Lepisosteus oculatus: one gene and its partners. The protein of the gene in region 1 purifies or fractionates together with the protein of each later gene. This does not show direct contact. Links are inferred from orthologs where the notes say so. Each region holds a gene or a part of one and is shown in the gene's direction. Other genes may lie near its edges. The genes, in order: phlpp1, wdr48a, akt1 and Na(+)/H(+) exchange regulatory cofactor NHE-RF2.

Region 1 (7,543 bases):
GCACCCAGTTCCCAGGGTGCTACCGGTGTGGATTTAGAGTTCTCCAATGTTGAGTTTCCTCACACAGTCCAAAGAAACTTTGGTAGGTTAATTGGCTTCTGTAAATTTGGTGCTGCTGTGAGTGTGTGCATGTCTGTGTCCACGTGTGCCCTGTGATGGACTAGGGTCCCATTTAGGATATATCCATCCTGTCTTGCACCAATGAGTAGTTAGTAGTTACACTTAGTTACAGTTAAGTAAGTGAACGGGATGTGATGATGATGATCATGACATATTTTGGAGAATAAGAGTTGAAGCACAGAGAGAGAAAAAAGGCCAAGGTTATCCATGATATATTATTTCCAAGTTTATTAGAAGGCAACATTATAGTGTAATATGCTACTAAACCAGTGAATAGAAAAGGGTTACAATAAAATTCAAGATCATCACTCTTCAGGTCTTTGGCATTACTAGTATTTCCAGTAGTTTTACGTTTCACACAGTGTTTCTTTCATATAGCCAGTTTCCAACAGTTATATGAAAAGCAAAAAGTAATTTTAATTATTCCAATCATTTCCAAGTATGTTTTGCTAATTGCCTGGATGTTGGCAGTGTAACATACTATATGTCACATAATATTGAATCCAACTCTGCTTTCATTTAACCAACATTTAAAAAGCATAACAATATAATGGTTAACAAAATGGGGACACCAGGACATTACTTTTTAAATCTTAAGATATTTGTAAGTGAACAGTGTTAAAATACATATTTTATGGCACTAATGTATATAATAGTTAATTGTAGGAAAACGTTTTTTTTTTTATGGGTTGTACACTGTGGTAACCAACATTCACCTGGCTGCAGGGACCACAAGCTTAATCAGCAAAAAAAACACAACTTAAGCAACATTGCTGCAGCGTTGGGGTGGCATGGTGGAGCAGTGCTTAACATCACTACCTTGCAGCTCTGAGGCCCTGGGTTAAATTCTGAACCTGGGGTGCTATCTATGTGGAGTTTGAATGTTTTCCATGTGTTTGCATAGGTTTTCTCTGGGTGCTCTGGTTTCCACCCATAGTCCAAAGACATACTGTTAGAATAAATGGCTTCTGGGAAAACTGTCCCTAGGTTTGAGGGTGTGTGCTTGGGTCTCTTACCTCAGTTATGTAGCATACTGTCAAAGGCCTATATGTTGGTAGGTCCCAACAAATCACTATTTGGTCTGTGTGTGATCTTATCTGGCAAGAATGTCGGTTAAATTAAAATCATACAGATATAATGTAGCCCCCCAGATTCAGAGGGTTTTCAGGACTGAAGGGCTCAAGGACACACACCTTGAATTAAAACTGGTACAAACAGCACCAATTTATGGGAAAAATAGGTTCACCAACTTAAGAGAAGAAACAACTGTACCATACCCAGCCCTACACCAACAGATCTTCCCATAAGCAGATGGCCTGTCCAAATTTACTTCCTCTGCTGAGAGAGGGGACTCTGTAGGAGAGAGAGCTACAGCAGCTCAGCAGCTATACCCTGGTGCTCTACCATGGCTCTGGTACCCATAAGGGAGAGGAGAGGTGATAGTTGGTCCTCTGCTTTGAACGGTAGAACAGAAGCCATTATACTATTGCTGTAGTGTCTTGAGGCTTTTCAGCTACCTTTAATTTGGAAGTGTGGGTATGCAGTGCTTAATAAAGTGCTTGAATTCCTTAATGTGTTGAGGTAAGTCAAAAGAACACACCAACCTACTGAATTGTGTAGACTGGGGCAGTCATCAGCTGATATTTTTTCAATTGCAATAAAAAATGCACATAATGCATCATAGTAATGCACATACACAGATCCAGTAAGTAGGTAACATCTGTTTAAGTATCACTTTACTGTATAGGCTCCCTTTGGAATCCAGTAATGAATTATCCTTCTCACATATGAGGCTGTGAAGGATATTACTACAGTTTACATTAGTGGCATGTCTTTTATAGTCTGCAGTGTGTTGTCTATGATTTTGTAACTTACCCCCTTTTTAAATTAATCTGTGATGATGGTGCATTCTGCTTTTATACATCAAGGCTGGAATTCTCTTCCAAAAGTGCTTAAGGGCCTTTTGTTATCTGAAAGTCTATATTTGTGCTCTTTTAGAATCGTACTGATAACAGTATATGTTTAAGCGTTGCATTTTCATTAAATATCTTGTATTTATTTTGTAATGGTAAAGGTTGTGTTTTTACTTTATATGAGATGAGACATATAAAATTAAGTATTTAAAAAAATATTTTAGAATGAAGAATTAACGTTCTGAAACTTTCGGAAAAACAATTTTCTTTTTCTTTCTCATCTTAACCACTAGATGTCACTAATGTCAAACGTACTCCTGACGCATATCTTAAAAGTATCACTCGGAATCCGAGATATATTTATGCTTTGCTCCTAATGTTTCAGGGATAGGCCGTGCTGCTCCGATCCTTACCAGGATCTTGCTAATAACGTATGGATGTTTGGATGTCTCTCAAAACAACCTCCACCAGTCCCTAAACAGGTCGAAGTGGTTCACGAGAAAGAAAACGTCGTCCACAGTCACAAGCTGGTTTCATATTCTTTGACACCCGGTCTCTTGATATACAGCAGCAATTACTCACCTGCACTGTAAATGGCATCTTGTGATGTCCTACCAAAGTGCAGACGTATTTGAGAGCAACAGGCTGCCGCAAGTATTAACTTCACGGAGCTTTAAATGTGGGCGGCTACTTTAAACTTTGGTTTAACGAAGAAATGATTAATTTCAACAAGAAAGTGTATTTCGATATTTGATCTGTTGAGGTATAATTGAGTATTATCCTCCTGTAAAGAACTCGCAGAAGGGATTTAAAAAAAGATCAAGGATGCTTGGATATATAGTGAACTACTAAAACTTTAAGTAGTATTAAAACTATACAGTTTACAGAAGGGTTTTGTTTGATTAGGTCAGTCAAACGGACTACTTTGAGCTGGATGATATAAGTATGATTTATTGGTGCCACAAGTATAAGGCCAGACGTTAAGATGCCACACAGGGTCATGTGGAGGTCCGGAAGGATGCTCACCTCACGAGTATCATTCAAGAAATGGCAGGAGTAGACTGAGACCGACGAACTACTGGAAACCAAAGAAGCAGGATTCTTTTTTGTCTGTAGCTACTCATATGCAAGTATCTCAATTGTAACCGACAGTGTATAACCAATTCTAAAATGCATGTGCTTCAAAAGAAAGACTTTCATTCATAACACATAAAGTGTTAAGTAAATCTAAGTAATGTTTTTTTTATATCTTTGAGGTTTTACATTACATGTTGGTAACATACTAGTATATTAGTACAAAATGTACTCTTAACAGCAAGGGCTTTGCAGTTGTCTTTGTCAAAAGGTACAGGAAGGTCACAGAGCAAGATCTGTAATGTTTACGACTATCAATCCTCAATATAGTTATTTAAAAGCTACTTTCAACTTTGACCGCTAAAATAGCTCAACTGCTCTACGACATTTGCTGCTGTCTGGATGTCGTAAAATATTTTTTGTACTTGCTTTAATATTCCAGTTTTCCAGGGTTGTCTCCAGGTTGTTTTCCAGGTTATCTGGTTTTTAGAGAGCAAGTTGTGTACCGATATTCATGCTTTTACATATTTACTTTCTGCAACTGAAAACACTAAAATGGCTCGTCTTTACGCAAAAGATAAAAGTAAGCAAACGCTGCGTTATATTATGTAACAGTCCACTAGCATTCACACATCTGTAAAATGGTCTTCGTTATTGTTTTTAGTGTATGAGTTTGGGTCCTAACAATGTTTTACCAAAGCGGTTTCAAGCGTTCAAGTTTTTTTAACAACGCTGAATGCTTTTAGCTTATTTTAACAATTGGAACAAGAAGATCTCGAGATGAAAACAATACGATCACACACCTGAAAAACTCTTCACAACCGAAACATTACGTATTTCTTCTTTCTTTTCACTTTTGCGGGATTAAAGTCTTCTTGTTCCTTACTACCCGCACACCTCCACACTACAGCCTTTTTTTTTTCAACAGCCGGGTGAATATGCGCAGACATTGAAAAGCAGGTGTAAAAAAACACAGCACGTTCATGGTTTCGAAATAGAAAGTTTCTGACGACTTTTAGAATATGTCGTTTTCTGCTTGAATAGTTCCACCTTTCCTGAGGGGGGCAGTGTCGGAAAACGAAAGATGTTTACACAAAGCTCTTTTCGAAACAGCCTCCCACATTTTAGACCCTCCTCTTTAAGATGTCACCTTATGAATATAAACAGAGTTCCGCTGACGTAGGATGTCTGTCGACATTCATTTAATATTCCCGCATATAATTTTATAATTAATGAGGGACTGACGCGCCCCCCTTTGCTTTTTACTTACGCTTGAGTTTCTCCTGCCACAGTCTCCATGATGGCGGTTTCGGCAGCTGCCGAGCGGCTCTGAGAAAAGCAAGAAACGAACCAACTGGATTTACAATGGCGTAAGACCCGGAGTGAGTGGCCAGCCTGCGCAGTTTTGCTTGTGTATTATTTTTTTAATTAACACATTAAGTGTATTTTCTTCGTTATTTCCACTCACGTAAAATGGAAAGTGCGCGGGCTGTGGTGTTGGACGGCAGGTTGGCACTGGATGGCTCTTCCACAGCGGTCGGGACAGCTGCTTCGGACTCTGAAACTGGCAAAATAAGCCATGCCGGTAAATTGAAGAAAGGATCCAGCTTCACTACCGCTGGTAGTGGGGCTGCAGCGGCGGTGGATGATGGCGGAGGCGGCGGGTCGAAAGCGGAGAGTGGGGGTCTCCGAGGGACATCTGCCCCTCTCCTTCACGTAGCAACCAGCAATGGAAATCATCAGGTTCAAGCGGCCACTGGTAAAACTAGTACAAATCCTTCTCTTCCTGCAACCACGAGTGCTTCAGGTTTGGCCAGTAACACTAACTCACTGCTGCTTAGGAGGAGACGACTGAAGAGAAATCTCTCGGCTGCAGCTGCAGCCTCAGCCTCTGCCTCCTCCGGGAGCCACATGAGCTCCGCTTCGTCCTCCGCCCTGAGCACACGGAGCCTGGATCGAAAGATGCTACTGAGGCACCGTCAGGTCATGCAACTGCAGCCGGCAGATCGGGAATGGGTGAGAGCGGACCTCCAGCGGGGTTGCTTACACGTCCACGACAAACTTGTGCCCTCGTACCTCAGGCCAGTTTTGTGCACACTGGAAACCAGCGCCGGGGAGATAGCGCGGCGGCTGAACCAACTCGGCAGCAAAGGAGGAGCCGTGGTGAAACTGGTCGGCAAAGGGAGCCCCACGACAGACTTAAACGGCACCTGCAACGGCAGACGGGTGGGCAGCGGTGCCCAGCAGAGGCTGCGCTCCCCCAGTGCCAGCCCGGAGGTCGTGGAAGTGGCGGACGGTCCTGACCAACTTGGTCATTTCAACTCCGCGAAACATGCGGAGTGCAGGGAAGGCCTGGCATCCCCCCCGGCAGAAAGGCTGAGGTTGCCGCTGGCGGAGAGCAGGAAGAGCCACAAGCGGCAGCAACTGGAGACTGATTCTTCCAGAGTAAACCCGCAGTCGGAGCGGAAGAATTTTACCAGCCCTTCTTCGGATACCAATTCAAACGCCGACGTCGACTTGATGTCACCTGCCGCCGATGCCGCGCTTGTACGCGGCGCAGAGGAAAGTTGCGGACCAAACTCTCCTTCGGATGTGGACAGCAGCACCTGCGAGGAGCTCAGCGCTGCGGCCCAGCTCGCCGACCACCGGGACTCGTTCAGCGATGGCATCATCCTGGGTACGGATACGTCCACCAGCCTCAGCCCGAGCTTGGACAGCGCACCGGAGGGGCTCGACGGTTTCGGGAGTTCCTCCGACGAGCTGGATCTGGACAGTCAGCTGCCCAGCTCCATTGCCCAGGAGTTGCAGCAGGTTGCCCGAGAAAGCGGCAGCGCCATCTCGAATAACAACAACGCAGTCGGCAACAGGCTGTGCGGCTGTGAGCTTCCCAACGGAGCGGTGGCTGACCGGGGACCAGGCGTCAGACACGACCCGCTCAGCTCGGCCAAACTTCCCTGTAGCGGCGGCCAGTGTCAGCCCAGGCCCAGCCTGACAGGCAAGGGCGCCGCCAGGCACACCTCCACCTGGACAGCGGAGTTGGGGTCTGACCGCTGCTCCTCTGCCCCGACATTGTACGTCCAGCTGCACGGCGAAGCAGCGAGGCGGCTGGAGCCCGAAGAAAAGCCCCTTCAGATACAGAATGACTACCTCTTTAAACTGGGATTTAAAGACCCGTGGAGGGTGCAGGAAGAAGGGATGGACGCCGAGATAGGCTGTATGATACGTTTCTACGCAGGTAAATGGATGATTTGGAAACATTTTTACGTCGCATAGCCAGTTGTGTTTGCAGTTAAATGGGTCGCATTTTTTGGCCGTTACGAACAGCTTTAATTGTGCGCGGCAGCTACAGTTGTATCCCAGCCAGAAAGAAGAGGGTGTTTTTAAGTTTGGCGAGGTTTGTGTTCGACCTGGGCCGAGCACTGCCTTTCCCGAGCTGCCGCTAGTGTAAGCCTAGACGCCTGCAGTACCTCTGTCATTAATAAAAGATTAACTTTTGCCTGGGCAGCCAGTGGGTCGTCTTGGTGGCCGATCGGCTTTTTTATCGCCGCGGCATCTGGAGGCAGCAGGTGCAGGTCGCTGGCTCCTGGAAGAGACCGTGTAGACGTGAGGGGATGTGTAGTTTCATTGTCCGGAATTTGTATTGAATAACTCAACTCACGCAATCCAGGATAAGTCAATTTGCATTTGATTTCAGTACATTCCAGCAGAATGTGTTTTAAGACTTGTATTTATTGGTGTGAGTGTAGGTTAAATATCAGTCTTCTAAAATCATGCTTAAACAGATTTAAATACATTAAAATAACGAGACACCTGACAAACCACAGAAAGTTTATACTTGGTTGCAAGGATTTAGTGATGTTGCACTCCGGAAGTTTAAGCAGTGTGATTCATAATGTCATTGGAGCTCTGTGTACTTTCTCACTGATCCAGTCTTTTTAAAAGAGTTTTAAAGTTCATTCACGGAAGGAATAGTTTATTGTATGGATGAGTACACAGAAATTGTGTCCTGTTTAAATTTGTGTAGCCAAATTTGTTTTTAAATGGATAATAAGATCATCCATTTGTAGTAGTGTATAGAATAACTGTAGAAGGTAATCCCACTTTAGATCTTTGCAGGACTCTTTTGTGGGTGTGTGGAGGTTTTTCAGAAACCATGTTTTAACTATGAACGTATTCTGAAATGTGCTGTGGTTGCTTTAGATTCTGCCCATTATTGCTTATTGCCGATGTCAAAGTTCCGTGTTTGCTTTGTGGTTTTAATTTAATCCACTTGTAAAAGGTGAGGGATAAGAAAGTAGGAGAATAAATCCCTTTAGGCCTACATGTCATGTGAAACTAGATTCGTTTTGCGTGATGCCATTAGCTATGATTGATCTTTTAGTGTTCATTAGAAAATAATATATGTATAAAAACAGTCATATAATATAGTAATTTCT
Region 2 (8,145 bases), about 1.0 Mb from region 1:
CCATGCAACTTGATTATGTTTTAACAGAAAATAATTACACTACATTACACCAAAGACAAAGATATACTGCATGTCCTGGCAGGTTATTACAAATGGAATTCCACAAGCTTTAGGAAGACAGAGTTCATATGCCTTTGGGATAAAAAGATCTTTAGGAAAACCACTGATAATGGCTATCAACAGTATGATACCTGCCTGTAAAGTGAGAGGCGAAGTGATTAGACATTATGATTCCCCAGCATGTGTTGATGAGAGAGATTCTTGGAAAAAGTCAGTTATGAGTTTACTGGATATCCACTTATGGTTAAATTACTGAATTATATATTAGCAATTATGCATTTTTGTTACAATCAATCCCATCTGACAGATGAATGAGTAATCACGAACTATAGAGGTTATATAGTTGACAAACCAGTTTATGAAGTTCATGAATTACATTGTTTCAGATATTCTTGCATTTTCTTTCTGAAAATGTGTCACTGGGACACAAAGATAGTCAATTCCGATAGACAATATGAGGATATCATTACAATGTAAGCATTTTTTGTGAACATAATGGCGTTTTATTTAAATTAAACGTTTCTGCTTTGCTGAGTTGGGACCCTTGGTTCAATTAGTCTGTGTGGAGTCTGTATTTTCTTTCCATGTTTGCTTTGATTTCCTCTGAGTGCTCCATTTTCTTCCCACAGCTCAAAGACATACTGTACTTTTAGATTAACTGGCTTCTAGAAGCTTCTAGGAGCACTGTCCCTGGTTACAGCACAGCTCCAAGGGGATCCTACATACATAAGTGGTTTTCATGACTGTGACAGTCTTCTAAAAAGCACACAAGTTTGACAGTGGAAATGTTTGGTAATGGAAATGATATTGGAAATGTTCATACTTTGGAAAAATAAAACATTTTGGGAACAATAAAATGTCAAATAATTTTGCCTGTTGTGCTTTTCATGTCTCTGCTTATGGCTACAATTCCCATAGCCACAGGAGAGAATGAGGAAGTGCAGCTCGACTCCTCTCACCTGCCATCTTTGAGCCATTCATTTTATAACGTGTCACAGACAACACAGACCTGTACTGAAGGTTCAGTGCTCACTGGAAGAGAGTCTGCCCGTACCTGTGAAACCAAAGGGGTTGCCGTGTCAACAACAGCCGAGAAAGTCAACTTATCTCACTCTGCCCCTGGTGGCACTCAACCATTTGTGCATAGTCACTTGGGGAATCCCAGTCACAGGTGGTGATACAGGGTGGGAATTTAAAAGCCAGATGAGGAATTAAAAACCAAAGCCGAAGTCTTGATTTGAAAAAAAAAACAACAACTGTATTTTGAATTTGAACTTAATTTCTGAGGTATTTAGACAACTTTATTACTGATTAGAATGGAGTAGAAGATCATTTAAAAAAGCCAGATTTTTGGTACATTATATATTTTTGCAGAGAGTATAACATAAATCCATAAAACTTTAATATGGATTTATGTTATAATATGTCAAAAACAGTGTACGGTATTTGATTTAAAAAAGTGATGGCATATCTATAAAAAGTAATATAGTTCTTTCTGAAATGTAGTAATAAAATACTATTCATAATTTATTCTAAAAATAAGCATGTAGTGTGTATTTATTAGTGCACCATATTACAGTAATTGCAAGATTGTGCTAAGAAGTTCAGCTAATTATATCATAACATTTTTTTTTCTGTCAGTAATGGAAAAGCTTCAAAAGAAATATTATTCAATGGATGGAAAGTTTGTTTTTTTTGTACACTTTTAGTCTTTACTAAAAAGGTCTTGCTGTTCTGGAAACAAAGATCCTGCTGAGCTAGTCTCAAAAGAATGTACTACTCCTGTAGCCTAAAAAAACTAAACCTTTTAGTTTCAAATGGAGCAAACTATGCAGAGATCTGGTTCAAGCACTGAAAACTTCAAGGTATTGACAAAGTCAGCCTTATGGGTTTCTTAGCAAGGTACTGTAACACAAATCAGAGGATCCAAACAGTAACTAAGGTGAAGGCATGTCTTTATACAAAGCCTTGTGGGAGGCAGGTGAGCTACAATACTTAATCATATTGTAAAAACCGATACCCTAAAAAAAAGACATAGGGGATCATCAAATTATTTAGCTACTGTACTACCAAATAGGCTAAATAGCTCAAATGGTTGCCTCTTATTTATATGCATTCTTTTATTTTTAGTCCAGTGTGTAGAATGATGAATATCTCAGTATTATTTGGTCTGAAAGAAAGCTAGCATTGTCCTCATTTCCTCCATGTTGGTACATGGGTCATAGCAGTTAACTGAGTAACAGGGCAAAACTGGGATCAAAATATATAAGATAAATAAAACATGAATTAAAACATCTGCCTTGTTTAACTTTTTTCCTAGACCTGCCTTAAGGGGAGAAGGAGTTTGGAGTCTGAGGCAGAAACATAACATATTGGAAGTGGAATCAAGAAGTAGGGTCTACATCATATGGAATGCTTTACAGAGAAATAGTGTGTTTTTTATATACGTATCTACAATTCTTAGCATAAAGATGTTGTTTTGCCTGGCAAAAGTGATCTCTTAACATTTTAGGTCTAAATAACAAGGTCAGACAGGCTTACTTAGTAAATATGCAGCTCGGCATTATTCCCAGACAAAAAAAAAGAGTAATTTTTAATCTCAGTGTTTAACATGATCATTGCAGCGGAAGAGAAGGCACATCTGTCTCTGCTCTGCTCTAGATAAACTGTGAGAGGACATCTGGATTTGAGTTGCTCTTTTTTAATGTGATGATACTCTTTTCTGAATTATGTTTTTAAAATGTATGGCTCTTTCTGACATTTCCAAAGGAAAATACAGAAAACAACATGAATGTGAATGAAAGGGATTGGTCTTTAATCAGAATAATAGGACAGCATGTTGAGTTCATATTGCACATATCACATTGTTGTGGTTGGGAATAGGCTAGCCACAAGAACTAAAGGATTTATTTTGAGTGTTAAATTAAGAAATCAATGTGCTTTTTTATTCTACAAACATGGTTTTAAAAATGGCAGACTAATGCAATTAAAACACACTAGAATCAATTTAATGTACCTTATATATATCAGATTTTTAATACCTGAGCAATCAAGAAGACAAAATAAAAACAGATACAGAGTTAAGAAGGCTGTGACTGCTCACACACCACTATCAGAATGGCTAGACCATTGGGCATAGACAGATGGCAACCAGATATTTTTTTAAAATATCAGCAGATCCATGACCTTAGTTAAGTACTTTGTACTAGGCACCATACCTTTAAATTAGTGCATCATATTCCACACACCTGTCCTTAATTTTCTGTAGTTTTATTCTTGATTTTTAAAGATGCTGATGAATACATAACTAATAGTTACCTGGACTTAAAAATGAGTATAAACCATGGGCATTAGAATAATTTCATATACATCGCATCATCCAGGTGGGGCTGCACATTGGTGGTGGTGGAGGGGAGTCCCCATTACCTGTAAAGCACTTTGAGTGGAGTGTCCAGAAAAGCGCTTTGTAAGTGTAAGAAATTATTATTATTATTATTATTATTATTATTATTATTATTATTGTTGTTGTTGTTGTTACTATTTTACTGATGGCTTTATCCATGATGAAACTCAAGTTTTAAAACAATCAATGAATTGTAATAATGTATAACTCAGTGTGGTATAATTGTATAATTAGGTGACTATTTTTCTATCACATAACAATGACCAAACAAAAAATGTATATATTTCAGTATCGCACATTCAAATAATAATACAGTGTGTATAAATAACAAGCAAGCAGTTTGTCTTTTGTCCACTGGAAGCCTATTGATAAATAATTACAAATGTTTTTATATAATGATAATCTGGTTTTATAATTTTATATTTTTTTCACTCTAACAAGTGGGAAAAGAAGCATAGTCGTCTTGAAGGGTTAATACGTCATTCCTGGGGGTATTACACAGTTCAGCTTTTGTAGTGCATGTTTTGATTCCCCACTGGAAAAAAAAAACTCATTATAAAAAGAGATGGAATAGCTAACCTTATATGTTTCCATAAAAAATAACTTCTGAAAATTAAATTATTTTACTTATATTGTTTCTCCTTCTATCCTCGACATTACAGGTAATGGGGACTCCCCTCCACCACCACCACTGTGCAGCACCCACCTAGATAATAATTTGTTTCACTACAAATGTATGCTACGTTTATGAATATTGATCTCAGCTTTTACATGACAAAATCTAAACATACAAGCCACCTTCGTTATTTCATAGATTGAACATAATTTGGACCGATCGTACAGAATGTGCCTAAACAGTAATTCCATTATCTTCCAGCTGGGAGGGTTTGGGGTTTATCAATGGAACAAGGAAATACCGATACACTATGTACTTTCTCCATTCAATGAATGTGCTGTATTCCCGTACATTAGTTGCACGATGACTTATAACCTGTCTAGAAATATCATAATTGACTTCCCTTAATTTAGATAAAAAATGCAAAATAAAAACATAGTTCAGGTACGGATCTCCATGCTTTTGACAGAACAGGTACAGCGTCTCCTTTCGGTGCACTCCTATCGCCCCAATCAACTTTACGGTGACCGTAGATCTGCGATTAGTGACGCAGTTATTTTACGGTGGAAGACGAGCGTCCTTTTTTATAAACTACTGTTCTTATATTATTTTATGATACAGGAACCGTATAATCTGTTTTACGAAAATCACACACCGATATATATTGAAGTCACAACAACGATTAATGTTTTTTTTTCGTTAGGAAAACGATTTGCCAAGTTCATAGCAAAATAATTACACGTCTAATTACAGATTTTATTTTCAATGTAATACGCAGAGAGACATGAATCACGAGACCATCTATTATTAATATTTTTTCCAGAATGGGGTTCTTAATGGCATTGTTTAATTCTCATCTTTTCTCTATTATATGGTAACAAGACTCCCATTTAGCGTCAGAGTTTTTCGTTTGATTGACAAGGCCCATCCGGAAGATTACGCCTTCGTTCCTTGGTGGAAGTGACGTAGAGCTGTCAACATGTAAGATGGCGGCTCATCACAGGCAGAATGCTGCTGGGCGGAGAAAAGTGCAGGTAAAATCTGTTTTTTCATCGGATCTCAGTATGTGGAGTGAAGGGTACAGGTTTAATTTAGTACAGTGACCCTGGGTAAGGATGTGTAGAACATGCGAAACGAGATAAAAAGACGTTCGTATGAACAGTTGCATTGATGTGGCTGGAATAGGGCAGGTGGTGTTCACTTAGAGGATGAGTGTACTGTAGCTGCAACATTTAGAAACTGTACTGCATTGCAATGCTCGACTAATGGGGTTCAGCTTTATATTGAGCGTATGAGCCAGAAGGATCGCTGATCACCGCATAATCGATAAATCATTCAGGTCTCGTTTAAATCTGTGAGAAAAGGTAGATTTTGAAAGGCCCGGGTTCTTGGCGGTTCTATGCAACTAGCTGTTAATTCAATGGTTCTCACAGTACTAGTCGTTGAATCCGTGTTTAGATGTACAGTATTAATCGCGGAACACAGATCTGTTAAGATTTGTTGAATAGCGAAATATGGTTTATATGATACCGAAAGTTTTTTTTCTTTATATTTTTTGATGACCTTAACCTATTTAGATTAGGACAGTAATTTCGATCCAGGTGACACCAATTGAATTATTCCCAAATGGTAAATTTGTTACATATCGTGGTATGTTTCGTTAAAATACCTGTCTCTGTAGGTGATCTGTGATACGTATTTATACGTGTATGTGCAGTTATGAATATGAAAACAGTGTATATTATATTATACAGGTATTCACAGAAGGGTGGCATTAATTGAAGATGATGGTTTTAGGTTAATATTTCCCTGTCTTGCTCATTTTTGTTCTAATTGAATGCTTCATTAGTCGTTACTTCATTAGTACTGAAACCCTAATTGATGTATTTGTTTGATGTTTGAGTGAAGATTATTATCGGTCAATGTAAAGACACAAATGGGAAAGACAGGCACTCGTCTAAGATTAAATATTCTTAGCACTGTATAAACCCATTGGTTAAATTCCACCTTGAAACAGTACATCTAGATGACATGAATTCTGAAAGATGATTGCTTGCATAGAGCTGAGTTTTGAGTTTTTAGAAAGTCAACTAATTTCAGTGTTCAAAACAAGGTTTCTCTGGGACTAGGATTGGGAATTACTGTTTTTAGATCAGTAGGTCCTGCTGTATGATCCAAATGTACTTCGTTATTTCAGATTCCATAATGGAAAGGCATGTTTCTAGAGGCAGCATACTCCCCTGACTTTATCTCTTCAGAAATATTACTCACTACTAGTGTCTTTTGTGATACTGTCATTTATTTGCTTGAGTTTGACTTGATTGATGCAGGAGTTTATGTACAGATACTTAACAGTGACTAAAATATTTTGGTACTCATGTTAAGAAACACAATGTGAAACCGTAGTAAATACAGAAAAGTTGGTCTTTTAATGATTTAGTGTCTGGTACACATTTCATTATTAAATTGTCCTTTAGTTTTAATGAAACCAAGACATTAACAGATTTTTTTTTCTTGATTTTGGACATGGACTTGATTTAAATGACAATCGTAAGACTGATTAAAGTGCTTACTGTGGTAAAATGTAGCAATTCTCTTGCTTTAAAGTATTCAGATGTACTGTACATTTGTATGTGTTATACTCTACAAGTAAAGCTGCAATAGTCCAAATGTATCTTTTGTATATTAAAATGAGAGCATTAAAAGAAATGCACCAATCTATACATGTGTGTTTTTAGAAAACTCTGCTTTCTGTGTTCTTGACTGGTCGGATCAATCTCCTGACCTCAATGCACTGGAATGATTGTAGTTTAAATTCAAGAAAGCAGTTCACAAATATATACCAAAGGATCAAGTAATAGGTTTATTCCATGCTGAAAAAAAGAAGAAAGAGAACACAACGTTTCGGCCGTGGAGCCTTCTTCAGGTGTGAGCCTGAAGGTCCTTTACATACCAAAGGATGTAAAGGACCAAGAGCAATGCTGCCTGGGGGAATGGCCAAAATTCCATACCTGGAGGAAATGCCAGAACCCTCATGGCACAATACTAGGAGACCTATCTTTACAATCCATGCAGAGGGAGGATATATGAAAGATTTTTCGGTTTCTGAATTAATTTGACTGGTGTGTTTTCTGGTCGTCTGATAAATTTGACTTTGCTTTGTGCAATGCTATCAACACTGCAATGTAACATTTTTAGGATTTTTTTAAGCAAGACACATTATTCATTCCATAAATCTTTTTGTTCTGTGTTCTATCTCTTATTTGATTAGGTGAAAGAATAAAGCTGGAGGCCTCTGTAAATTGTTGCGATTGCAAACGCCTGATAAGAGACTGTTTATAGCACTTCTCACCATATCAATACATTTTATCTCTTGAAGCCCTACATTGCGTGTGCTGACCACTAAGCCATTAACTCATTTTTTTCCATGGCCAGGACATGTTGAGGTTTTACCATTTGTGAACTCTACACCTTCTTTACAAAACCCCAGTAATAACTGGAAGAAATCTGAAAGAGAAGGCGGTGAGTCTGGTTTCTGCGATACGTAATGTATCCCAGGATGTTGGAACCTGAACGTCCTTATCTGTCGAGATAAAGTTATCTGGTCATTAAGTGCAAAATGTTTTCATCAGGAAAAAAGAAGAGATGGGCCGTTGTTTGGTAGCAAGTGTGTATCATAACAGAAACTGGAGAATCATTTGACAAGGTGTACTAACAGTTGTTTTGGGTGTTTTATATTCATTTTTGCTCAGTATTTCAATTTGTAGGGGTATTTTTTCTTGAAAGAAAAATCAGCGCCCATTAATAAATGTACACTACACTTCATTGGATGTCTCTGCCTCAGACCATTATGGAGAAATGGGCTTCACTGCACAGGGCCTCTCTCCCCAAACTGATTAAGAGCTACAATGTCACAGACAGTTTGACAGGGAAGAAGTAATGGAAATGTAACTAAAACCTTTTAGAGCAAAGTAATAGCGTGAATGGACCCTGGAGCTCTGTTTTAAGAGTTTGGAAAAGAGAGCATATGAATTTATTATTAAATTGGCTCACAGATGCATGCACA
Region 3 (7,515 bases), on another chromosome or scaffold:
TTTGACAAAGCTAGAGTATTACTTTGAGGGGGTAGGTTCTACGAACCTTCTTATACTAATGAATAAACTTTAAAGTAAAAAAAATGTTTTCCAATACTAATTTTTTAAGAATCGTGGAGCTAGGTAAAATAGATGTGCAGAATGATTGACACTACCCAGTTTGTTAATAAGTTTACATACAGTACTATAAGCCACTGAAGAGAAATCACGACACTGTGAGAAAATGGATCAATCAAAATGCAAAGTACAGTTCTGCTCATACAACGGAGACATGAGTTGCCATAACACAAATGGGTGCAAATGACAGTTGTGGGTGCACGATCCTTGGTGAATGTGACCCTCTTATTTTCAACACTGACTGTCTGGCTTGAAAGTGTGGGCGAACAAAGCAACAGTTGTGCTTTGGGGCTGGGCTGGACTGCCCAAGGTCTGGCAGAGTACGAGCGGTGTGGTTTCTCACATGGGAATGGGCTTCCTGGAGATGCATTCTTTCTTGTTACCATCAATAGCATTCCCCACCAGTGTTACCACAATACATTCCTTGTGAGGGGGGAACAAAGGGCTCACATTCCTATGGAATCTGCTATCAAGTCATAGCGCTCAAGCCTGAGGCACTACACTAGTAAGCTGTTATAAATTTGCACAGCAGCTTTGTATGTCTACCTGTATCATTTTATCAGCATCGCCGAACTCCAGCTGAACAGTTACTACAGCTGCAGTACGAAATCTCTTTTAAAAATGTGTCCGAATAAACAGAACCAAGTGATTTTTAAAGCAAAAAAAAAATAGCCACCACCCCTTTGGAAAAGCCTGCTGTTGCCTTAAGCAAGCACATTCTTCCAACTTTGAGCCCATTTTAAAATAATTTAAACATGTAGTGAGAATAGAAATCATGTTTGTCGCTTCCAAGTGCTACTACATTTTCAGCTCTGATTGCACTACTGACTGGGTGCCAATGCAAACCAGCTGATGTGGCTCAATGGCATAATCTGCATAAACATTTATGCACAAATTATTCATCAGGGTACTATAAAATTCAATAATAAAGGACAGTAGTTTTGCTGTTGCTATGCAGTTGTATGATGTTTGCACTAAAGCGTACCCATAGCTGTAGCCTACATTAGTGGTTTGCTTTTTGATCATCATTAAGCCTGTGCCAGATGTGGTCCATCACCATTGCACTCTTACACGCCTGAATTTATAAAGGCACCAGGCACCATTATTCCAAACTCAGGTGTGCAGTGTTTGTCTATTTTTCCTTCTATCCTTCTTCCCTGTCTTTTTATTGTTCCCTGTTTATGTCCTTTTTCCTTGTACTGCTGACTCAGACATTCCCCCTGAAAATGCTTAATAGTCATTTTTATATGTGGAGCTGTGATACTTTTTACAGTGAAAAAAATAGACAGCTGAGATATGTGCATGGAGGGAGACACAGTGGTACAAAAATGACCATGTAGTAAAAGTGGCAGGAAGGGAACCATGATGTGTTCCGAATGGACCAGAGTGCTGATGTTTGGCACTTGTGCTGCCAGTTATGGGAGGAAGCTTTGCTTAGTTGTCAAGCACAACTTCTATCCTTTAATGTACTTGACTGATTTCAGGAGTCACCAGCACAAGGAAAAGCTACTAATTCACAAAGCCAGACAGACAGGTTTTCTTCCAGGGTTTTATTTTTCTGTGGAATTGCAGTGATGGATGTATGACAAAGCTCATTAATGCCAAACAAAAAGCATGTTAACAGTATGTTTAGAATCATAGTGAAGTCAAACTATAGTGTCAGTGTTAAATTCTTAAAGTGTAATGGTTTATGTGCAGGATCTCTATTTTAAGTATTATCCTGGTCTTTATACTGGTTCTATCAAAAACAATGTTGTGATGCTGTTTAGCATTTTTCTCTCAGTGCCACACTTCAAATTTGTTTTTTGCTAACGGTGTGTCACAACAAATACAATTTCACATCTGTCTGATATTTTTTAAATTCTGCAGCAACCGACAAATTCGCCCTAGTTTTAACAATAGAAACAGTGTCCTAAACATAAATAAAAAAACATTGTTTTAACATAAATACAGTGTGCTACAATTGATAAAACCCATACAATGGAAAACTGAATTGTTAAAATAATAATGATATCCTTGGGCAAAGATTGCTTAACCATCAGGAAGGACAACTAAGGACTAAGCAGCAATATTTTTTATTTATTTGGAAGGTCAGCTATATCCCAGGGTCTTTATGCCATTGATCTGTTACAGTGAACTTCAAAAGATCATTGTCAGTCATTAGGACTAGTGCTTGCGGGCACTTAAAATGTCCTTGGAGTTGTTTGAAATCCTCACTTTTCAGCTGTTTTATTCTGTACAACCCCAGTCTCCAGCTTGTGGCACAATAGAAAAAAGGGAGTTTGGATGCTGTTGACTGCAGCCTCTTGTCTTGGAGCTTTCTGGTCACCGTTTCAGTCAGGGGATTTCCTCAGAAGAGTAGACGCACATCTCGGAAAACCCAGCATTTTGGCCGAATTCATCACACGACTCCTACTTCTAAGAATACCTGACTATTCGAAACTGAAAATGGAAATGCACTGCATAACTTTAGAGGGGGAGGGGGGTGGTACTTCCCACAATTACAGGATGCTCTTTACATGTGTGGGCAGTTTCAGATACTAGGGTTGCCAGAAAAGAGATCTATCTTGACTGTCTGTTACCAAAAAAGGTGACATACATATTTAGAAAGTATTTTTGGTAGTGTAGTTCTGATTTATACTCATTATTTTCATTCATTTTAACTGTATCACAGACAGCTGTGCACCAATTGTTACATTCACTGACTATCAAAAAAGCAACTTAATAATAACCAGATGTAGTCATATGTGACATCATACTATCTAATTTGAGACTATAAATCTTTGGTTTCTATTTTTTAAGATGTTAATTCCAAAACCAGAGCTTTTGTTCTTCTGTTCTTTTCAAACATTTCTTCCCCTAGCCTCACAATCACAACTAATTAGTTTGCTTCAGCTTAATTAATTGCCTTAGCGCTGCTCTGAGACATATTTGAATTAATTAATTGTATGTCTAGATCACAAGGATTAGGTGTCTTCTGAATATTGAAGTGATGCAGAATAATGATAGAAAGAGGCTATCAAGTCATCAATTATTATTACATTTTTACTAACGTTTTTTTCAGCAGGTGTGTTTCACATATTCTGTATTAAAATATCTGGTGAATACCCAAGAGACAGCTCCAATCATTAGGTTTTGTTTTTAAAAATCACTTGATCTGCACTACATAATTAGAAATGTATCTGCTGGTTATAAATGACAATGTGAATATACCTAGATCATAGAAACCAAACCATTATTATTTCGGGTGGGAAGCTGCCCCAGCATGCGTAGGCTGCAAAGGAACAAGTAATAGGTTTATTCCATGCTGAAAAGAGAAGAAAGAAAACTCAACATTTTGGCTCACACCCGAAGAAGGCTTCACAGCTGAAACGTTGTGTTTTCTTTCTTCTCTTTTCAGCACGGAATAAACCTATTACTTGTTCCATTATGCAATTATTGTGGATATATTTAAATACTATAAACTGACATAAACATAAAATATTTTTCATCATACTGCAGTATGTTTCAGGTTACATTTTTGTTTTTTCTATCCTAACCAGTGTGACTGTGAAATACAATTTCTTAGATTTTAGCTGAAACATGTATGCATGTGAAATGTGTGTACTTTAAATAGTTTTAACCGGAGTGGCAAAGAGAAATAGTAATAAAAAAATATAACTTTTTAAGGTAACTAATAATTCCTTCTGCTTCAAGACATGTTAGGCACAGTAGCCAGAATATGAATAAATCTACAGTCTGATTCACTTCAAATGACATAAGCACACTGATGTTCTCAACACATGCATTTTATTTGTCAATTTGTGGAATGGTGGTGGTGAGGTGAATATACAGTATATTTCCTGTTTTTAGAATGTTTCTGAACATTTAAGGTTCTGTCCTGATTATTAGTTAAAAATTAACAGGTGTCAATAAAAAAAAAAACTAACCACCAAAGTCAGTCGGAAATTCTTGGAGTTACAAATTGTGATATGAGGATTCCACCAGACCAGTTAGGGGGATTAAACCAAGTATTATCTACCGTTGTCATATCTGGAATTTGCTGGTGCAATGAAGGTGAAACTAGATGTTAAAATTTGGTAAGGAAGTAAAAAAAAAGCTAAAAAGCGCACAGTCAGCGTGTTGTTATTGAACCTGATAAACTGATTTTAGGTGCTAGAGGGGAATTTTGCCGTTTACAGTTCTTTGCTATTGGAGGCTTTTAAATGCTGACTTGATTTGAAGAATCCTGTTACACAAATATGTATTTTTCTAAGGGTGGTTAAATAACGTTTGTTGTGGTGTATGCGTTAGGGTACTGGCTATTTGCTTAAATCCCGCTGAGTGGAGGCATGAAGAGTCATCATTCTTCATTCTTACAAAGCAAGGCAGCCGGCGGAAAGTGAACCTTTCCGAGTTGGGGAAAAGGCAAATAAGGTGAAAGAGCATTGATCTGTCGGCTTTAGGACCCGGGAGAGAAAGGACTGTGTGACACAGGAGCAATAGAGAGACCAGGCTTGGGAGGTGTAGTGGAAGAACCAGCAAGAGAAACGGAGTAAATGAGAAGAATTTTGCAGACTATTGAAGGACATAGCAGCTTAATAAAACGCGTAGGGCGTCCATAATAATGACCCGAAGTCACTTGTGAAACCTTGGAGCAGGTAAAGTGTTGCATTTTTACTGATTGCTTTTGGTCTGTGCCCGAATGCAGCCATAGAGGCAAAATCCCATTGTAGTGAATGGGATGCGGCTATTTCTCACCCAGGCTGCCCTGGCTAGGCCCAGAGCCCAGTCAAAAACTAGCAAAATAAGATAAAAATATATGTACTATATTCCGAATTCTTCAGCGCATTTTACTTTACGTTATTTTCTGCTTTGTAACGAAGTTACTTCACTACCCAAACTTTGGTGTTCTGTTAGGCTTTACCGCTGAGAATTTAATTCTTGAAAAATTCTCTTGATTTTTAATTGGTCATTTTTTTTTGTATTGTACACCGTCGTGATCGCTTCTGAGATGTCTAGGCCGATGGTTGTATCTCTCGCCTTTCTCTGCACTCTGTGGAAGTTTGAATTTAAACGCACATCTCCGAAGCCTCAGTTTGAATTTAAAAGTCCACTCAGTGTTTGTTTCCTCACTTCACTGAGTAAAGTAAATACAGCTTCAGTAACAAGCGATTTAAAAGACAAACTTCAGTGGCCGTTTTGCAGATTTGTTCTCTCTCTTCAGAGCAACAGGAATCGATTTTCCGATATTGCCTTTGCATTTGGGTCTTTTCTAGATCGTGTCGCTTTAAGACCTTTTGCTTTTTACAACAGCCTTACATTTTTACTGGCGTTTCTTATATAAAAAAGAACGTCTTTTGATCCGTCCGTGCAAGATATTGTTAGAATATATATATATTTAGATAAATATTTATATCTCAACTCTTATGTTTAAGGTTTGGCGCCATAAACATTTAATTAGGTAGCAATGCATTTCAAATACCAAAACAGTTGTCTTTATATCTGCAAATGTTTACGTCCTACGGGGGAATGCTACGTTTTGCTACTGCCTGACGTTTAGTGTAAATAATCGGTTTTATGAAGCGCTGTCTGGAAACGTTACTGACATCTTACGCCTATGCACGATCTCGAACCCTAACTTAATCTGAGTTAATTTCAGTTTTTGCAATAGACTGTTACCCAAGTTGAATAATAAGTGCTCGATAAATTATAGCCAAGATTTCTACTAAATAGCAAATTCACCATTGTCTTAGTTTTTCAGAAATGACGAAGAGTAATCACAGGGTTATGATAAATGACATTAGCACGTGGGCAGTAGAAGACAGGTCTCCCACAGCAGTACTGAAGTGTTGTTATATTAGAACGAGCTGTCTGATTCATTTTTTATTCGGCAATCCTGTAGTAAGTTCACGCTGGAGAACCTAAGGATTCTTGCCAATATCAACAAATGGGCTTTAAAATCCACAGCAGCTTTATCTCGAGAAAATCTGATAGTGAGAAAAAAACGAACATTATCAACCGTTTCTGTGATTGTACTTTTTGTTTCGTCGTACTATCGTGACAAACATAAAAATGGAGCACTCTTTAAAATTTTAGTCGGCAGTGTAGCACAATTTTCTCTACCACAATTACACTGCACTCTCAAGTCAAATAAGTAACAACATGCTCAGTTTGCACATCAGCATTTTACTAATATTATTGCTTTATCAGTTATATCCCTTTTGAAACCTAACCCTATTAATGGCAAATAGCAAAGTAGCTATAGTCATAAAGCAAAAAAAAACCAAAACAAACAAACCTGAGTTCTCTTTTATGTGTTGCATTGTGCAGAAAGTAGCTATGTAGTGAATGTGGTCCAATATCAGTCAGGGAGGTACAGTGATGGAGGTTTCCATCAGAAAGGTGATGCAGCAGTGTCATAATTAGTCTTACATCATGCAGTCATTTGAAAATTGTACAGTCCTTTTTGATTTGGAGAATGCCCATAAACCTGAGGAGTGCAACTAAAAAGTAGTTTCTGATAGACTGAGGATATTCACTCTTACATTATACATCTAAAATCAGACACTGGAGCCTCTTTAGAGGGATGTTAACATGTAGCATCTGAGTCTTTGAGAGGCTATTTCAATTGAAATTGTGATAACTTCTTCATCTTTCAAGACCACAAGTCACACTCTTTTGTGAGTTCCTACTCGGGGTGTCTCTGCTTTCTGCTTACATTCCCTGAAAATTATTTCAGTTTCATTAGAGGCTGAGTTCATTTGCATTAGCAAACAACAACCTGGATTTACCACAGGTACTCATCTGCATTTTTTTAGTTAGTGTGATGTGTTAAAAAGGATCTATTTGAAAGGTTCCTCTTTCCTCTGTTGAGTAGACCAACTGAGGAATTTTGCCCATTTTTATTTAAAAACAAGGCTTTCCAGTTAAAATTGCCTTCTCAGCTTTGGAAAGTTCAAAGCCATTTTCACCTCCCAGTCGGAGGTTGTGTATTATGACATTTACTTCTCACTAAATGGCCAGACAGTCTTCATCACTCACAGTGAGTTGGAAGGATTTTTCTTTGTTGTGAAATCCTAGAATGCTGGGATAGCTCTGAGAGACTTTGGTGTACAATACTGTCAATCCTGGTATAGTTTAAATTTGGGCCTTGAGAACTTTGCATGCAGCAGGCCTTTGTATTCACATTGCACATGATATTAATAAATATTAGGAGAGTTTGCAGATGCACGTGTATAACTAATTGGGTGTCCTTCCTAAATCCCAGGAGCCTGGGTGCTACATTAGTGCTCCTCTATAAGCTTATCAAACTGAGTGTGTCGAAGACATGGACTGGATCTGTCCTCTCTACACCAATGTAGTACAGTGTGCCACCATTACCATAGTGATTTTAACTACCATGTAGCAGTAGCCTGA
Region 4 (7,719 bases), on another chromosome or scaffold:
CAATCAGCAGCCTTCAGTTACTGTAGCAGAGGGCAATTATTTAAAGGAATGGAAATCAAAAGTCCAGAGGCTGAGACTGGGAAGCTGCCATAGAAAAACAGAACCCTTCCTGTCTTTTTTTGCGATTTTGTAAAATGCAGGGACAGATGATGACTGCCTGTATGTCCCATGACTCATGTTTTCCGGTCCACCTTTATCGTGGGCCCTTAAAGCAAACTCGCGCTTCTCTGTTCCCGACCTGCAAAGGCATCTGTGTCTTCCAGGAGTGGATACACATGTCCATCGGATCGCCAACAGGCTGGGATGGGTGAAGAAAAGCACAAAGACTCCCGAGGAGACCAGAGTCGCATTGGAAGACTGGTTGCCAAGGTAACTGCACAGCTTGCCAGCCACAGCTTGGAGGCCTAGTTACTGTCCCTTATCTGTAAAGGGACAGAAGTGTTCTGTGGGGTTGACAGTTTTGTTCACTACTTTTTGATCACTAAAATAAAAAAATCTGCCAAAGTTTCGTTTTTTGGGTACGCCACAAATTAAATAATGCGATAAGTCTCTGCCACCTTCTCTAGTTGTCTGGAAGCAGTGCTTCTGCCGACATTTACTAATCCTAGTAATCTATTTCAGGGACCTCTGGAGTGAAATCAACTGGCTGTTAGTTGGTTTTGGCCAGCAGGTGTGCCTGCCAATAAACCCGCTGTGCTCAGACTGCCTTAATAAGGACAGCTGCCCCTATGCCAACAGCTACAACAAGAAGAGGAGCCATGAGCCCCCTTCCAAAGACCCCTACTCCTAAAGTCTACTAGCGTACATTTGCCTTTTATCTCAAGACAAGGGATACTCGTGCCAGTTTTCCAAACGTTTTCCTCATTAGCCAATTGTTTCTTTTCATCGGGGACGTGGATTTTGTTTTGATTGCCAATTCAGGAGGGTGGCCCGTGTGGCGCAGTGGTGAGCTCTGCTGTGCGCGGCCCCCGGGGGCCCTGGGTTCAATCCCCGGGGTGCTGTCTGTGTGGAGCTTGCACGTTCTCCCCATGTCCGCGTGGGTTGCCTCTGGGTGCTCTGGTTTCCTGCCTAAGACGTACTGGTGTGTGAATTAGCTTCTGGGAGGACTGGCCCTGGCGTGTGTGTGTGTGTGTGTGTTTGCTTCTGCACGTCCCATCCGAGGAGCATCCCGCCTTGTGCCCATTGCTTGTAGGATAGGCTCCGGCTCCCCTGTGACTTATCCCATATTGACCTATTGATTAGCAGATGGATGAATGTTAGTTTAGTTGAGTATTATAGGGACCAAGATGTATGAGGAATAAAAGTCAATGCATAGAAACCGCAGCAGCAGTTAAACATAAAACTGGATCCCAGTATCACACTGATATGTGGTGTGGGAGGAAACAAAGGCATTTCTTTCACAGAGGTGTCTGACCCAGACACCTGAGGCTTACACTAACTGAAACAGAGGGGTTAACAGAGTCTCAGGGAGGTCAAATACCCACGTCTTCCCTCTCGTCCACTCCTGTAGCACTCTTATAAAGGAGTATTGCCAGTTTCAACTGGGTTGGGCTGCAGGACTGGAGGTGTTTACAGGTGTCTTTTGTTTTGTTTCCTCCGAGAATGTGCCGAAAATCACACTCACTTGGACCCGGGTTTTCATACCAATTGTCCAGGGGACATTGAGGTTTTTAATCATCACAGTTATCTGTAATGGTTTGTTCTCGTTCAGTGTTTCAAGTGCTGCCACAAGACTTTATCTTTATCGAAAAACCTGTAGTGGGGAAAAAGCCAGATGTCATTGGAAACGAAGCTTATGTGTCACATTATAACTCAGAACTCTTTGTTTTGGCTTGAAGAAAACGTTGTATCCAAATGATTCTCCTTGTTCTTTTGGAAATTGTTTGTTTTTTCCACTTATAATTGAAGTGTCTGATAAAAAAAACTATTTGTAGGGAAGTTTGATAAAACATCCTTTCCTTAGAAAATAAACAGTAACAGTCATTTACAGTCCAATGTTCTGTTCCTCTGTAAATATTTTTTCAATCATTCTTTCTACGAAATAAACATTGGAGAGAAACCTGTACTTCACTGATTGCTCCTGGCTTATCTTTGAAAATGTGTCTGTGGTATTTTATTACCAGGCAGTTTTTGTAGTAAATAAGGATAACTTGCTATTACAATAAAAAACACCTACCTTGCTAATTTCTGCACCACATTTGCCAAGATTAAATTGATTACCTCAGTTGTTAAGCCTTTGTTAATTATGTAAGTTGACTATCTGCTAATGTATTCATTTATTATTGATGTATTACTTTTATATTGTTTGTCGTGCTGCATATATTTGTAATGGCACATGGTAACACTTCTACATTCATTTAAACCTCATGCTTTCACATGGACGTTTAAAAGGTCATGCAAATAATCTGATTTAAGAAACGGGGTTGTGGTAGACATTTTTTTAAAGCAAAATTAAAATATGTTAAATAGTTTTGTGAGCTTTGTTAAACATCCCCAGCTTTGCCTTATGGTAAGATTTGATTCTCATTAGTATATCTCCAGACTCCTTGAACCTCAGAATTATTGGTACTTCCGCTGGTTTTGTACGTTTTAAAATATGTTTATAATTATTCGACATGGTGTGAACATCACATTATGATTTTATATGTTAGCTTAACTTTTTACATGACCATCTTCATTAAAAACTGCTTCGGGTGAAAACGGGTAAGCCTTCTGAAAGCAATTTAAGCGTTAACTGCCCATTTATTTTAGTTCCGAAACCACCGTAATATTTTTAAATTGAGCGCGTGGAATGGTAGAGCCACAGAAGACGGTATTTTGACTATCCCTACAATTGTTCTGCCAATTAAAGAGCAGTTTCATTTAATTTGCACAGAATTATGGTATATAAAGTAGGTTACATGTAATTGATGTCTAGATGCAGAAGTACATTAAGGTCTGTAGTGTATGTACAGTATACAACGTGTTATAGTATGGAGGGTTATCATGTCTTCCTTTTAGTTCCTTAAATCAATGTCCGGGAGGGATTTTCAAATAGCTTAACCTGTCCTGAAATTGACTCTTATTCTTGTTCCCCAAATGTTTTCTGTGCGTTTGATTTTTTCACGTGTAGTAACCCTATATCATCTTAAATCTGTTGTGTTACTGTTATGGTTAATTGTTTTATTTTAACGCCTGTGGCCTAGTATCCGCTGAACTAAAGATAAAAAGAAACTGATAAAAAAGTACATGTGCGCCGACCTACCGTAACGTCGACATTTTACGAGAGCGGTTACGCGTGTTTTCCAGCATGTGGCAGTACACCAACGAAAGTGCACACGAGAAAAGTAGCAAAACGTAATAGATGTTGACACTTGAAAACTTCTAGTCGATTCCTTCTGTAAATCGGCATTGCAGACAATAATGTGCTACATGTCTATAGTTTACAATAAATAAAAAAGGTTTTATTTCGAATAATATTTACCAATCTCATTTAAAAATGTTCAACGGGCAAATTGAGATCATTTCATACCAAGTAGATTTCTGAGTTTTGTAGCGACCTAGTAGAATCTTTTAACTTGTCTGGTATGCAAAAAAAAGTCAGTTACTGAGTCAGTTACTAGTTTACCTAAACGAAAAGAGCCGCACCTTTATTTTTCTAGGATGTCTTGAGCGTTGTCTGTTACTCCCCGGCTCAGGAAGCTGCTCTCCCGACAGCCCAGTCATCTCCTCAGGCACGAGTCGCTGACACTTGCCGCACGTTTCCCCGAGACCCGGGTGCAATAACAGCCCAGAGAAAGTGGCACATAGCGAAATTAATTGCTTCAATTAATAACAATAAACGACTTGCTATTATTCGTAAAACAAAATGGCATTTTTCGGTAGAAAAACGCACTCAAAATCGCATTACCTCAGAATACACGTTCTGTACAGATACAGTAACTATAACACAATATCCCATGAAATAGTTTTACAAATATGACTCCTTTTATTCCATGCTGAAAAGAGAAGAAAAAACACAACGTTTCGGCCGTGGAGCCTTCTTCAGGAGGGGCTCCACGGCCGAAACGCTGTGTATTCTTTCTTCTCTTTTCAGCATGGAATAAACCTATTACTTGTTCCTTTGCAGCCTACGCATGCTGATGCAGCTACCCTCATGAAAATATATAGCTCCTGTTTGTTTTATGTGAATTCTTGGGTTATTTTAATGCAATAGTAGTTTACTGGAATATTACACTAAATACAGTAGCTTATTGTAGATAAGCGATCTCAGCTGAACTTATTTGTGTTTTAGCGCTTTTCCTGATCAAAATACAGAAATTATGGTTCTTTCTGTCACGTCACTGGAGAAATGCACCAGCACATTAATAAAATAGTGAACGTGATCGCGAAAAAGAATTTCAGTGCTCGCGCTTTTACGCATGGTCCGAACTTTTTACGTATTTTAAAACCTTTAAAAAACAGAGACTTTACATATAAAAACTGATGTAGAATAAATCCATCTGTAAAAAAAAAGAATCCAAAGGTAAGAAAAGTACCCACAACAAAAGATTTTCAGTTAAGTCTTAAGCCTTTGGTTAGGATAACATCTTTGAAAGGACTGTCATTAGTTCACAGAGTGGTCAGAGAGTGGAACTGATGTCGAGATCTTGTTTTATTTTTTTTTTAAAGCAGCCATTTGGTAGGGCGGTGGTGCTGTTGAGCTGTAACAGATCTAAGCGACACATCTATTTACTTAAACCTTGTCGTGTAATTGAATCCTAATTCCCCAGCTGAGTGTTGCGGATGGAGCACGGAAGGAGCGCTTGAGCTAGTTTCTGTTCATGGCCTGGAGCCTCATGTAGTTCAAAATGACAGCAGCCCAACAAGGGGGAAAACTTAAAAAAACGGAGTCCGTTATGCCGCGAAATCCATCGATTCCGTAAAATAGCGAAGGGAAAAAAAACTTACACACGCAAAACAAACTGGAAACCGGTTACCTGTTGCTGTTCTCTAGACGACCACCACTGGGATTACGCCTCACACTTGTGGTTTGTTATTAAAGAATGTTAAACGCCTGTGGATATACTTTTAACCTAAGGAACTTTCATCCTGTGCGTTTTTCGTTTTTGTGGTCAATGTTTTGAAAATCCCTAGCGATAATCCTCACATTTCGGGTCTTTGGAAAATTATCGGCAGCAAGTTTAAAGGGACTGCGTCGAGCGAGCAGTCGGGCGGACGTGCACTGGGAGAGGACGACAGTAGTCTTCAGGTGGATAACAAAAAGTGAAAACGCAGAAATTGGTCTGGTGACAAACATGACCAAGGAGCTGAAACCGCGGCTTTGTTTCATGACGAAAGGGGAGAATGGGTATGGTTTTCATTTGCACGGCGAGAAAGGGAAAAGTGGCCAGTACATACGCAAAGTGGAGCTGGGCTCACCCGCGGAGGCTGCTGGGCTCCGAGCAGGGGACCGGGTGGTGGAGGTGAACGGTGACAACGTGGAAAAAGAAACGCATCACCAAGTAAGTGCCGAAACACTATCTGAACATCCCGTTGCCCCCACAGCCTTTGGTTAGACCTTTCTTCGGTCGTATTTTGTGACGGTGATGAAGCAGCCAATGTTCCCAGAAACTGTGCCCAGACCCCATCTTTTTTGCGCTAATGCCGTCATTTCTTTGCCCAAATAACGTTGGAAATTGCAGTACCGTGCGCGTATCAAGACCTGCCCGGTGGTATGAACTGGAAAGCTGAGGGCAGGTTAGATCTGACCAACCTTTTTAACCGAACTCTGGGTTTTATTGGCACTGCATTTAGCTTGGTGTGCCCTTTAAAAAGCGCTTGAACACCCGAAGTTACTGTAAATTGAAACCTTTCTGCTTGGTTTATTGGGAATGCCCTAGGTCCTAGAGAATTCAGTGGAAGCTTTCGGTTCTTAAATAAATGTCATCATATGACATTGTTTATATTATTTGAGTTCGGTTTCCTCGTAACAAACGAAATGCTTTATTCTTTCAATTTCTACGCATAGCCAAGGAAGTTATTGTGAAGACAAATGACTGATGCCACAACAAACGGGTGTTTGTTTGCTCCGTGCAGTTGGCCGTACCAGCACAGAACCATTGTGTGCAGGGAGAAATTGTCTCCAAGGAAGGGACAGTTCAGCACATAAAATAATCGTTCATGTAGTAGTTCTCAGGACGTAACTCCTCAAATACTTTGTAGCTTCATTGTCAAAATGTTTTGTTTTGCCACATAGAAAAAGTGTTACATTTTTTTAACACCTGTATGGATTACTGAAAGGTCATATACGTTGTTGTATATCGTTCAGCATTTTTAGTAGTATTTTAGTTTAACAACTGGTGCCATTCTCATTTATCAATTGGAGTGCTTGTGCTGTGCTTTTTTTGTCCAACGAAAAAACTTTAGTTTCCAATCAGTCTTGCTTTGCTCCCTCTTTTGCTCTGGGACTCGGTTTGCAGGGAAGAGATTTTCTCCTGTCTCTGTTTAATCACAAAATAAAAATGCAGAAAATAATTATAACTTAATGAGCCCTTAGTCTGACAAATTAGGTGAAAAATTAGTATGCAATGATTACATTATAGGTGAATACATTACATTTATTTGTCTGTTAGTATTGTTAGAAAGCTGTATTAGCCATCTTGGCACTCAAGGTGAGTCTACAGGAATCTTAGTGAACTGACCAGCTCATTAAGAAACACAAAAAAATAATAATTCTGTTTTCTTTAGCAGGTGAGACATTTTTTTTTTATTGTCAGTAATGACAAGGATAGTCTGAACTTTGAAATCCCAAAAAGTCTTTGCACATTAAAGAAGGGTGTTTTGTTAAATGAGCTATTAGATGCTTCATATTAAAGTCCTCACCAAACCCCATGAATCAAAGACAAGAGCTGGCACTCTCCTAGGGAATAGAGTCACTCCATGGGAGTATTTACATTCTTTCCTCTCTCTGCTTTGTGTTTTTGGAGTCATTCACCCTTGTGAGGGGAGATAAGGGCCTATTAAACTGGGGATTAACAGCTTCCAAGTGGAGACTCAATAAATTCAATTGGTGGGTTCAATCAAGAATGTTACTGCTCCTTGTGGCAGACTGTGGCATACCTACAGTAGACTTCATTTCTTTGTGGCTTTCCATACATGTCATCTGGTTTACTTTAATCAGTTTCAAAGTTCGTTTTACTCTCAGATCCTTATTTTGTCAGGGTGTAAACTGCCTCCTCTGTAGTAAACAAATCCAAAACAGACCCTTGGTCTTTTTTATTTTGCTGGAATGTGCAATTTGGATGTTCTGTCAGAACCAAAGCAGGAATTATTGTTGTTTTTATAGTTGTATCAGATTCTGGCCAACTTCTAAACCTAAATATTCCACATTTTGTCCCATAAGGAGATACCGACATAAGAATGCTTTGTCAGCAATGTTGACACATTTTCAGCTCGGAGCGAAAATGGTCCACTGCTCCTTATGCTGTATTTTTGGTGAGCTTTCCATATTTGTCTGCAGAGCGGAAGGAGGACTTTTCCTTGTACCTAATTTAATGATATTTAATTATTTAATCATGTAAAACCCCGGTGGGAGTGGGCCTCGCAGCAGCCTCAGCCCCCGCTGTCCTCCTTCGGCTGCAGGTGGTGCAGAGAATCAAGGCCCTGGAGAGCGAGACGCGGCTGCTGGTGGTGGACAGAGAAACGGATGAGTATCTGAAGGGCGCCCGGCTGACCTGCAGCGAGGACATGGCACGCGGC

What was found.
Region 2: the proteins of phlpp1 (region 1) and wdr48a purify together in Homo sapiens (affinity purification with mass spectrometry; 5 studies listed by BioGRID and IntAct, with this or other methods). This does not show direct contact. The link is inferred for Lepisosteus oculatus from reciprocal best matches to the Homo sapiens genes PHLPP1 and WDR48.
Region 3: the proteins of phlpp1 (region 1) and akt1 purify together in Homo sapiens (affinity purification with western blotting, with the first as the bait; 3 studies listed by BioGRID). This does not show direct contact. The link is inferred for Lepisosteus oculatus from reciprocal best matches to the Homo sapiens genes PHLPP1 and AKT1.
Region 4: the proteins of phlpp1 (region 1) and Na(+)/H(+) exchange regulatory cofactor NHE-RF2 purify together in Homo sapiens (affinity purification with mass spectrometry; 3 studies listed by BioGRID and IntAct, with this or other methods). This does not show direct contact. The link is inferred for Lepisosteus oculatus from reciprocal best matches to the Homo sapiens genes PHLPP1 and NHERF2.

The regions. Positions count from the first base shown.
Region 1 is NC_090701.1:36,367,024-36,374,566, reverse strand, and holds the start of phlpp1 (PH domain leucine-rich repeat-containing protein phosphatase 1), read left to right. Parts: upstream 1-4,372; 5' UTR 4,373-4,580; coding exon 4,581-6,342; intron 6,343-7,543. UniProt on the Homo sapiens protein: Protein phosphatase involved in regulation of Akt and PKC signaling.
Region 2 is NC_090701.1:35,350,187-35,358,331, reverse strand, and holds the start of wdr48a (WD repeat-containing protein 48a), read left to right. Parts: upstream 1-5,011; 5' UTR 5,012-5,065; coding exon 5,066-5,113; intron 5,114-8,145. UniProt on the Homo sapiens protein: Regulator of deubiquitinating complexes, which acts as a strong activator of USP1, USP12 and USP46. Enhances the USP1-mediated deubiquitination of FANCD2; USP1 being almost inactive by itself.
Region 3 is NC_090703.1:17,257,716-17,265,230, forward strand, and holds the start of akt1 (RAC-alpha serine/threonine-protein kinase), read left to right. Parts: upstream 1-4,461; 5' UTR 4,462-4,757; intron 4,758-7,515. UniProt on the Homo sapiens protein: AKT1 is one of 3 closely related serine/threonine-protein kinases (AKT1, AKT2 and AKT3) called the AKT kinase, and which regulate many processes including metabolism, proliferation, cell survival, growth and angiogenesis.
Region 4 is NC_090714.1:2,507,355-2,515,073, reverse strand, and holds the start of Na(+)/H(+) exchange regulatory cofactor NHE-RF2, read left to right. Parts: upstream 1-4,657; 5' UTR 4,658-5,276; coding exon 5,277-5,483; intron 5,484-7,602; coding exon 7,603-7,719. Other genes in the region: nthl1 (endonuclease III-like protein 1), read left to right, coding at 264-369, 622-790.